3 linked regions of the Drosophila melanogaster genome follow. The gene in region 2 interacts genetically with the main gene of each other region. Each region holds a gene or a part of one and is shown on either strand. Other genes may lie near its edges. The genes, in order: cry, so and gl.

What was found.
Region 1: of so (region 2) and cry, changing one enhances a phenotype caused by changing the other (phenotypic enhancement), as found in Drosophila melanogaster (one study listed by BioGRID).
Region 3: of so (region 2) and gl, changing one enhances a phenotype caused by changing the other (phenotypic enhancement), as found in Drosophila melanogaster (one study listed by BioGRID).

Annotation. Positions count from the first base shown.
Region 1 is NT_033777.3:19,210,046-19,213,801, reverse strand, and holds the start of cry (cryptochrome), read right to left. Parts: upstream 1,649-3,756; 5' UTR 1,462-1,648; coding exon 1,320-1,461; intron 1,244-1,319; exon of another isoform or gene 1,075-1,243; intron 319-1,074; coding exon 1-318. UniProt on the Drosophila melanogaster protein: Blue light-dependent regulator that is the input of the circadian feedback loop. Has no photolyase activity for cyclobutane pyrimidine dimers or 6-4 photoproducts.
Region 2 is NT_033778.4:7,417,251-7,421,006, reverse strand, and holds the start of so (sine oculis), read right to left. Parts: upstream 1,658-3,756; 5' UTR 1,009-1,657; intron 1-1,008. UniProt on the Drosophila melanogaster protein: Required for visual system development. May transcriptionally regulate genes necessary for optic lobe invagination and Bolwig's nerve formation.
Region 3 is NT_033777.3:18,370,716-18,374,471, reverse strand, and holds the start of gl (glass), read left to right. Parts: upstream 1-1,733; 5' UTR 1,734-1,955; intron 1,956-2,602; 5' UTR 2,603-2,693; coding exon 2,694-2,739; intron 2,740-3,022; coding exon 3,023-3,153; intron 3,154-3,636; coding exon 3,637-3,756. UniProt on the Drosophila melanogaster protein: Transcription factor required for gene expression specific to photoreceptor cells.

The sequences.
Region 1 (3,756 bases), on a different chromosome or scaffold from region 2:
GAATGCCACCATTGGTCTCAATCACCAATTGCGGATCCCAAAGCGTGTGTGATACCTTCTCGACAAAGTCGATATTCAGCTCCCGACATAGAGAACGGATGCTTTCATCGCGCTCATTCCAAATTGGCTCGCAGTCCTGCTCTATGCAAATCCTGTGCAGACGCACTTGCTCATGTAGCCGGCGGAAGATATAAGCCGGTTCGCCCTCGAAGACCAGGAGGCGTCCACGTCCATCAGTTGCCGCCTGTAGCTGATCATCGATGTCCTGCAACGAGTCCAGGAGGAAACGCATCCGATTGTAACCCACATTCTTGGTACCTGTTAAGGAAGAGCATTTAACGGTTTTATAAGATTTATAAATTTAAAAAAAATTATGCATTTTCAAAGTTTTTTCGTGCACAATTTTCGCAAAACTAGGAATTCAAAACAAGTTTGTGTGTTTAAGTGCCACCTTTTAGATAAATTTTCAGCTTTTGTGCAAACAAATGGTTCAGTTTAGCCCATTTTCCATTGTAATATTTGTTTTCACGCTTTTACCCACAAAACGACGCTTATCGGTCAAGTGATGGGTTCTATAGGTATCCCCGTTTCTCGCCGACTTTTTCCGTGAGCGAGCTGTTTAAACACAAGCATTATACTGCTATTCTGGTTTGCACTCAATGTCTCTACCCATTTTGCATTGTCTTTCTATATCTCTCTCCCAGCGATTCGACGGAAAATTCTCAAAACCGCCAGCCACAAATGGCATTAGGGCGCATCGTTTGTTTTGCTCTACCATGCAAAAGTGCATTAGGTTTTCCCTCCATTTTCCGCCCCTGCAGCTCTCGCCCTCTTTCCATTTTCACAAGCAGCGAAAACGCTGAATTCGCAGCGGTCGCGGAAAGAGGTGGTATGTGATAACCGATGCAAGTCGCAAAAAATGATATTAGCTCATACGGAGAATGAGCGTGTAATAGCAATCAAACTAAAAGTATTTATTTTAACCCTCTGTTGCCAACGGTTTTTTATTTTAATTTTGTTGAATTTTCAAACTCTTTCCAAAAATCTATTTTTACACAAACTTCTGATGATTTTGTATGAGCAAATATATATAGATATAATATTTTATCTTTGATGTTTTGCTATCTATTAATTATTTTAAGATTATCTTAATATTTTAAATATATCTCCATGAGATATCCATATCTCATATAAAAGTTTTGAAGTAATAACTTAGGAAAGTGCAAGGTAAGTTCAAGGTTACCTGTAATCAATTTAATTTGGATACCTACATGTATGTGTGCGCAACGAAATAAAATTTTCGAAAACTCAGTTCTTACCTGCACTCTCTCCATCGAATATGAAAACGGGAATTAGGGCTATACCCTGATCCTTATCGGCGAGGGCGGCCAATAGAGCGGGATTATCATGGAGGCGCAATCCATGGCGAAACCAAATCACATTCGCCCCTCGCGTGGCCATCAGTGAGGAGTTCCCTGCTTTTGGGCTTCAAAAATCTCCCGAATCCCAGTTTTGATCGGGAAGAACAGTTTTCCAGCTGATGAAAAGATTTTCTTTTTTCCGCACTCACGATTCGCTCGCGCCGGCAACTAATTGACGAATGAGAATGTGAATGCGAAATTTGAGTGCTGAGAACGTTTCTACAACTGCAGCTCAACGTTCCCCGTGTTCGGCGTTATAAGCTAAAATGAATCGCATAAGTACGGTGAGTGCAACAGAGATGGCGAGAAAGAGACCTGTGGGAACCGCACACTGAAAAAAAGTACTTACTTCCATATATTATATATATTATAACCAAAGTTTAAGTTGGGCAAAACCAAACGCAGGCTAAAACTAAGAGTGTTCTATAACATCCAAATATCGTTTTTGTTTTTGTTATTGTTTATATTTTGAATTTCTATGCATATTTAGTATTAAAACTCGTTATAATGGCTGCGAGAAAAGATTCGAGAGTTGATAAGGATTTTGCGGACATGCATATTTTCTCCCAGTGTAGAAGCGTGTACTGTGAATCGGTAACTAGAAACAGCCCGTTCAAGTGCGTCAATACAAAGCTGTCGATCTGTATGTGTGTGTGTGTGTGTGTGCGAAGGGGCGACTGTGTGCTTGGGTGCTTGTGTGAGCATAAGTGTGGCACTCTGCCCACGGTTGCCTGCACTTCTAGCTCTGCGCCGAGAACGAGCCGAGCCCCCACCCCGAATCGACCCCCAGCTGACTGTCCCACCCCTTCTTCCCTTCGCTCTCACAGTGGGGCACTGCGTTCTGAGCACACAGAACCAGAAACTGAACCCAACTGTTGCCGCTTATGACGTGACGAGCTTTTGCAAGCACTCAACTCTGCAGTGGGATCGAGATGGGCTGTTTGCATGCTTATACTTATCACTTTGAAGTAATAATTACCTATTTGGGTATATTTACTTGGTTGTTTATTATGAGTAAATACATTTAAGTTTAAATAGTTATAAGATTTATTGATTATTTGATTTGTGCTGTGCAGACATTCATTTGTAAAGCAAGTAAGTATCGCCCTAACTACAAAAGTAGGTTAGCCCATTCCTGGTTAGTTCTTCTACAAATTATACTGGAAATAGCTATTTTGGTAAGAAAAAGATGAAGATGGAAGATGAGCAATTCTAGATACCAGTATTCTCCTATCAATATTTCGAAAAACCAAATACACTTGAACATATAATAGAGTAGCTAATATTCGGTAGTGACGCACTTTTTGGTTATGGTCCTGCATTGGCATAGTTAGTTAACCCGAGCATGGGCCACAGCTCCTTTGCCAACTTTGAGTGAGCTTTTCCCCCATAAAAAAAAATCCCCGCACGTCGAATACCCAACATCGCTGGACAGTCCCAACGAGCCTTATTGTGAGTAAACTACGCACTTGCATCACAAAAACTTTAGCATTGCACATTGCATGTTGCCTAGACAACGACAACGACACCGACAGCAGCAGCAGCAGCAGCAGCAGCAGTAAAAACAAGAACAAGGACCAAATGGAGGCAACGTGCGTAACGGAATGTCAACTGCAAAGCTCGCCGATGCACGTGTCCTGGCAACAACAACAACGACAGGCGCTGCTTGCAACAATCGGGCGAGGAATTCAAATGATGACGACGACGATGATGAGCCTTCTGTGGCTGGACTATGGCCAAAACCAGGATTATAAGGGGGCGGGGGAAAGGAACAGTGGCAGAGGCAGAGTGAAACAGGGTCAAATGAACAATGAAGTGAAGTCGAAAGGTTTTGGACAAAAGAATTTTTCTTGCCTTGTTAGCTTTTATGAAACTAATTTACGTTCCTCGGTTGGGATTGAAATTTCGGAAATTTAAAGATTGAGAATAGCAAATACAATTACTTATACTCAAAGAACTCATATTGCTCATACGCCAGGTGGGTTTCTATTCACAATTTTCACTTCATTGACATGGACATTTTCGTATAGTTGGCATTTAATTTACGTTCAGGTCGAACTTTTCCAATAGAACTTGTCCCTTGCAAAGGAATACCCACTTACCCATACGCCAGGTGGTACCAATTTTTACAAAGTTCTCACCATTTCCTCGAAATTGAATTTTTTATGATTACGGACAGCCTTTCATAGTTTGTTCTGTGAAAAATTACTGAACATTGGCTGATAAAATGTCATGTAGAAAATTAAATATGATTTCTCATAAACCAGATGGGACCACTCGTTGAAAGGGCTTTTACTTTTTCAATCGCCGCTGCTTTACCATAGTTTCCATTGTG
Region 2 (3,756 bases):
TGGATCAAATCCATCTCATATCTTTTCCTCTAATTAATAAATACATCTGAGGTGGGTGGGCCGTTGAGTAGCCAACTTGGAAACGTGGAAAACTTAGAAAAAAATTGAGCGGTGAATAAAACAACAGAATTTTTCTTTTGGTGTGTAAACAAGTTTCCTTTCCAAATATAAGTGAACATGCAATTCCCGTGCTTTTGCCTTCGTTTCGATTCCCTCAGAATTGCTTCTCAAGTGCCTCGAGTTGGTTTTCCGATGGCTTTTGGCCATTTGGAATTCGCCAATGCCACGCCGCCAAAAAGCGAAGTGCACTTTGGCTCTCAGCTCTCCTCATTGAAATCGGCAAAACGTTGTGAATCTATGGACTTCGATGATAGATTGATCCATTAGAAAGCGGATAGAGATACGCCGTGACATTTATGGACTGCATTAATGTTTTCGCTGCACACGCTTTAAAGGCTATTTAAAGCACTAAAATATATTTTTAAATGAAGTCTTCAAATAGGCAAAGTGATTGATACTTTCTCAGAGAACTTTAGGCTTTTCTAATCAAGAATAACGCTTTGCTGTAAGTTCCATTTTAACCGTATGGGATGTTTAATAAAAGGTCTATGTTCTATGATCTTATCTATAGGTGATAAGTGATTTCTTGAACATGTGGTTAGTTCTTCTAAGGCTTAGTTTGACCTATTGAAATTATTATTTTTCTGAAACTTTTGTATATATTTATGGTTTTATAATTTTAAGGTTCCAATATGGAAATGTATAATCTAATATTAGCTATATTTATTCACATAATCGTCCCGAAATTTATCATAGTTATTATATCTCCTTTTTCAAGTATCAATGCCAATTTTATTTTAAATTAATCCCCCATATACCATTCGTTTTTCTTATTGTGAAAGAATATCCGTCCTACTTATGCATCTACATATATTTTTGCCATGGTTTCTAGTGTTCCACAGTAAACTTTTGCCGTCGGCAGCATGAAAACTGAATCTCGCTGCTCACCTGTATTTTGATTATTTATTGTTGATACGTATCCGAGTTTGTTAGTTTTTGTTTGTTACTCTTTGTTTGGGTTTGTGCCTTTTGCCTTGGCTTTCCGATTCGACTTGTGCTATATCCGCAAATGTTAGAGTTGGCCAAGAAGGCGCTGATTTCGGCTGTGCGGCATTTCCTTGATTTGCATTTTGGCCAAACTCTTCAAATCGAAGCCATGTGCCGTTCGCGCACGCACACACTCTTAGTCGCGATCACACTGGGCACTAACTAACACAAGCTTGCCGTTGAATATTGCTCATACGCACTGTGCGAACACGTGTTGCAAATTACTTTTCGCGAAAACTTCGCTGTCCTGCGCGACTCGGACAAATTGCACCTGCAAATTTGGTGGGCAAAGCTGCGACGACAGCACTGAGGCAGTGCCAACAAAAAATGGCCGCCCGCGGATTGATTAGCTCAATTTTGCTCGCTTTTCTCTCGCTTCGTGTGCGTTTATGTGGCGCGATACTGATGCGTTCATTCAGGAAACACGCAAATTAAATATAACTTTGTGCGCGGGACGTCAAAAGACCGCCGGATCCGGCCTGGATTACTAAGCGAGCGACGTGGGTAGAACGGGCAGCGAACCGCACGCGACGGAATCTCGAAAACAACTGAGAACTCTCCGGTTCTCAAACCTAATCGAACCGAAAACGGCCGAGACAAAAGGCAGAAAATGGTTGGTGCCGCTGGCGGTGTGCGTGCGCCAGAGCGAGATGGCCGACTGGTCGTGCGAGTGTGTGAGTGAGCGAACACCAAGGGGGTGAACTGCACAGTGGGATGCACCGACACTTTGTGCGTCACTTTCCAAAAACGTTATAGGAAAATAATGGAATCAAGTGAAGCGAGACTTACATTCACTGACTTTTATAAAGTCACTGGGCACACACAGTTCATGATTACACATATATGAACTGATGATAACTCAGAATTCACTACGTTTTAGTTGTTTTCAATATCTTGCCTTTACAAGTGTTTTTATTTTTATTCTATTTTATTTTATTGTATTCTAATGTTTTCGTAGTAAGACATAGTACATTTTTCCGTTATTATATGCTATTGTATCTTCAAAACATTAGAAAATGGTTTTATATATTTTTAAAGTGGCTTACAATTAAGTTAAGTTAAGTTAAGTTAATTGGACAAATATTTTTATAAACGTGTAGCCATTGAATTTGACACACGGTGCCAATCGACAACAGTTTGACAGCCACTGCGAGAGGGGCAGCGTGCGAAAGAGCGAGAGAGCGCATAAACAGGTTGACCGAAAGAACGCCCCCTCGGCTTACCTGTTCGCACACACACACACACACACACACACACATAGATGCCCTCACGCACACCGGCGCACTGGAGGACAGCAACGTGCTGATTGGTCAGCGGAAACGCATGCCAGCAAAAAGGCATGCGCATTGGGCGCCATATTGAAAGGCGGAAATCGGAGGTGATTGCAACTGCATCGCTGCTCCTCCCCAGGAACTCCTCATCCTGGCTGAAAGGATGCCCGGTGCAATAGCTGCCATCCTACAATGCCGTTTGAATTACTCACCGCAATAGTTCCATGCATCTCTCGTATAATTGCAATTACTGGCCTTTTCTCATATTCATTCACTCCACTTTTTTGGTTTAACTCAACCTTGTGGTCCTTCCACATTAGTGCGGTTTGCATTGTATTATTTAATGATTCCGAAGGAGATGAAGCCGTTTGGTAATTGAAGCCAACTAATTGTGTTAATGATTTACTAATATATTTAGTTTACTAAATATTTACTATATACACAGGCTCCTTTCGTCTTCAAGTCCTTGTTCATGATAACTGAAATAACTTGAACCTAATTTAATTTCAAACTATTAACATGATCTAGAGACACCTGTACAAAGTGCAGCGATGCGTTCAGAATGCCTAACTTTCTTTTTGAATACAAATAGTCAACTTAAATCACAGAGTACTACACTGCTTAGTGAATTTTGTAGATGGTAATTAATGTAATTAATGTAAATTAATGTAATTAATGTAATGTAACGCTAAATGTATAGAAATTAGTCAAAGTACCTGTTGTTGGAGGAACCGCTTAGACAAATGGTATTATTTTCAGCACTTCTTTATTAAAATTCTGTCCCATTTATCGGTAGCTCGATCTCAGCGTGTGCCGTGAAAATCGCATCGAGGACCACCCAAAATGCAAATTCGGAAACGGAGCTGGGAAACTCGATCGAAATCCAACAAAGATGATGGACTAATGGGGCGCCAGGCCGGTGCACCTAATCAAGATCGGCAACTGCCCACACAGATCAGATGCCAAGTGAAGATCCATACCGCTGGCGATTTCAGTATCGTTTACAGCGATCGATAAGGTTTTGGCGCCAGGCCTCGACAGTCACCGATAGCCAAAATAAGTGTTAAAAAAATTAGGAAATCGTAAAATTTACATAATAACAGATCATATTTCAATCGAATTAGAAAGACAGACGGCAACGACAACAGTTGGGAATGCCAGAGGGACCAGAAAACACATAAAGATGGCCATAAAACAAAGTTGGATGGAGAGGCAGCGATACGGGATGCCACAAAATGTTAATGAAAAAGTGCGATAAAAATCTTGTCCAACATGAATGAGAAAAACGAGGCAAGCAGCCCAACAACAATGCAGCGATCAACACCACGTTCTGCGGTTCGAGATGACCCCCGCCTCCTCGGAGAAAGGGATGGAGAAA
Region 3 (3,756 bases), on a different chromosome or scaffold from region 2:
TTTAACACACACGACGCTGGCTGGGCTTGACCTGAAATTCCCATCGATAAGGTAAGGTGATATGGGGGATATAGCTCGATACGTATGCGATCACTGCAAGCCTTTGCACTCAACTGATTTTGCCAATTGGCGGTGAATTCGATTTCGGGCGTGTGAACCAGGTGATCGATCCGAATTGGGATCTCTTCATAGCATTATATCTATAATATATCTTAGCTAAATATAGTCGAGTTGGGCTTAACACATCTATTTCATAATTTCCATTTGCTTTTCCATCTGGCCTGCGATTTATTCCTTGCTTTTTCTGCTGCGACCACAAATCGAACTATCAAATAACATTCAAACTATTCACGATTGTCGGCCCGGCGACAAGAGCATCGATCGATTGGCAGTCGTCATTGGCCGGGCTACAATTGAGAATCAGCGCCGGAGATAGAGATACAAAGATACACGCAACAGAAGCAGATACACACGGCCAGATACGCAGATACAAGCTACAGAAGCAGTCAGGGGGTTGCCGGCCGACTTGGCCGATGGACTGCCTCACTTAACCACAAAACAATGGAGCGAAGAGGAAGCAGAATGCCGACGAAGACGATCAATGGTTGGCAAGTCCGTAGCAACTGTCCCTCCCTCATCAGAGACCCTGCCAGAAAATTCCCATTTTAATATGTGAATTACTTTATTTTCAATACTTCTTGTATCATATTTATATCATACCAATTACATTGTTTATTAATAATCCCTATAGTACTTTTTGTTTATTATGTAATAAAATTACAATACCTTTATTTTAAGAAAGTAAATAATATGTTATATATCGAAAATATTCACTAATCACAAGCATATCAAATAGTCTCAAGTGATTTGATGTCCTCTTAAGAATTTAGCGACAATCTGCGGTTGTGCATCTATAGATTTTAAGGAAAAGGAACTTCATATCTTCTTTTCAACAAATAAAGTGAGGATACTTGTTTGTGAATTGAAAACAACGTTATTTGAACGGCCATCGATTTTGAAGTGTAACATTCTAGAGCACTAGAACTGCTTGCTAGCGATTATTTCTCGAAGTGTACTCTTTTTTCTCCCCGCCTCGTTGGTATCTGGTGTCGAGCTGTAAGATATTGGGTGACAAATAAAAACTACTGAAAACTGCTGCCGATGTAGCTGGCCACGTATGAATGGGCCTGAAACTCGGACTGGGCGGGATCGGCAGCGGAGGAGTCGGATATGGAGGCGAAGGCGAAGGCGGAGGAGGGTGACTTTGGATTTGGATGAGGATGTGGACGTGGAAGCAGCAGAGGGGTGGGTAGTAGCCGCAAAAGCCGGCAGACGGAGCGCATTGGTTGGCCAACAACGATGACGGCAGCGTTGTTGTGGTGGTGGATGGATGGAATCTCAGGAGTGGGCATGGGATATAGTGCGGGATGGCTTGGTGTGGGTATGGTATGGTATGGGTTTGGTATTGGAGGAGGGGTGCTTTCAGCAAGGGTCTCGAGTGTGTAGTGCTGCGTACTTGTGTCATTATAGCCGACCAAAGTGTGAGTGCGAGCGAGATTGTTGTTGCCGTTGTCTTTTGCGCCCTTTTGTCGCTTGTTTATAATTAAGTGAGTATGTTTTTTGCGCCCTGCTGCTTCCTCTGTAGTTGTCGGTTGTCGCTTTGCTGCCGCTCTGCCAATCCGATATATCAGTCGATTTTGGGCCGAGGTGGCTCGAACCGAACTGCAACTGACAATTAGTCGCCGTCTTATGCTCCTCGCCAAAAGTCGCTTCTTGCCCCGCACTCGAAAAATCGAAAACTGAAAACGCATAAAATTCAAATCGGAAAACAACGATCGTGTGTTACTACTTAAAACCGAGTCTTCGAAAAAAAAGTTACAAACATATTTTGCAAGAAAACGTTGAAATTCTATTGGTGATCTTGGTATCATGCCATTTGTGGATCTATTCAGAAGGTGAAAACGATTAAGAGTGCATATGTGAATAAAGAACGGAATAAACAATATTAAATCTGCAATAAAAAAGAAGAAAGAAAAAATGGAATACAACTAATGTATTTGAAATAAAACCTAATAACTGCAAATAGCTAATTAAAATGTCCTAACAATGTTTTGGCTAAGATCGAAAAAATCAATTCACTAAGAAGATTTTATCAATTTAACAATATCATAGCTTTGATCTCATTAAAAAGAAAAACAAAAATTTACTTTGATTTGCATGCATAAATTAGTTAAATAGCAATTTTAACGTTTTGTTTCTTTCAAAATGAAAGTTATTGTAATTTTAGTATAATTTTTTAGTCCTAACAATAATGAAACAATCGAATTGAAATCCATCTTCGTCATAAGAGCGATCTATAATTCGATATCTCTTTTAAATTTAGAGGTGAAGAATCTGTCATATTGTGTATCTAATTTCTGATTAGCTGTCGAACTTTATTTAAAACTGAATTTATTAACACTTTATTGAAAATATATGAAGATTAGATTTGATATTGGTATTTGATTGAATAAATAATAAATTGAATAATAGATTTGAATAAATGAATAGAAAGTGAATCTTAATTAGAATTTACCAATAATGTTCCGTCATCGCCTTGCAGTTGGAAATTAACGCATCAAGATGAAGCGTAGGAAAAGCAGGAACAAATGCGCGACTGCTGAGCCCAAACGTTCCAGAAGTGGAGTCATGTCATGGGATTGTTATATAAGGGTTCCAAACTCCTGAACACAATTCTGGGTGAGTGAAATCGGAAGCACCATTGCACAGATATGCAGATACAGCATATTGTATGGCGATACACGGATGGAAAGTCGCGAGTCGAGAGAGCAAAGCAAATGGCGGTCTCTCGATTTGTGTATTTGTGTGTGTCTGTGTGTGTCTCGAGGGGCGGAGCTAGTGCGCACAGTGGTTGTCATGGGAGCAAAAATGTATCCATGAGATACGCGCTGCTGGCGAGCATCTCTGGCGTACTTCCAGTGATTTTCATGCTGTTCTTTTTTTTTTTTTTTTGGCTGCGCAGATTCCCTGGAAGATCAAGAGGGTGGAGCTATGTACATATCGTGCGATGTCTCAAACGGCGGTCCTGTGGAACCAGAGACGGGCTATGTGCCCAACAATCCCCTGTTCGGCCTGGCGCTGGACAGCCCTCAGGTGAGTCCTGGAATCCTTTTTCGATTTCGCCTCAATATCTCCGGAAATCTTCGAGCGTTCGGTTGTGCTTGTTTCGTGGAAAGAACTTAGCTGAAATCTGTGATATACCTGAACTATTTAAATTTTATAACCAGGAAATAGAACCCAATACCGAAATTGTGGTTATTTTAATTTGCTATATCGGTAACTGAAAAATCAGACAGTTTTGTACTAAGAAGTTTATCATTTTCGTTTTTAAAGTAATCTATTACATTTTTAACCCATACGATTTTATCTATTGGGAAGTTTAATAGCTTAGAAATTCCTTCCATATGTAATACAATTAAACTCTCCTCAGAAGTCAGTATTAGAATGTAAAAATAGTTAAAATTTACTAAATGTTTCCACTAACTAACTAATTATTTTGTCTTAGTTACGTATTAGTACTAACTGAATGTATTTCATAACCGGTCTCAATCTCCATTTCCGTTTTCGCTCGTGCAGCAAGAGTGCGCCGCTTCCTGCGTCGGCTGCCTATCCTGCCAGGGCAGCACCGCCCTGCCCATCTCCTCGCTCACCAGCAGCGACTTCGACTGCGGCGGCTGTTTCGATCCCACGATTGGA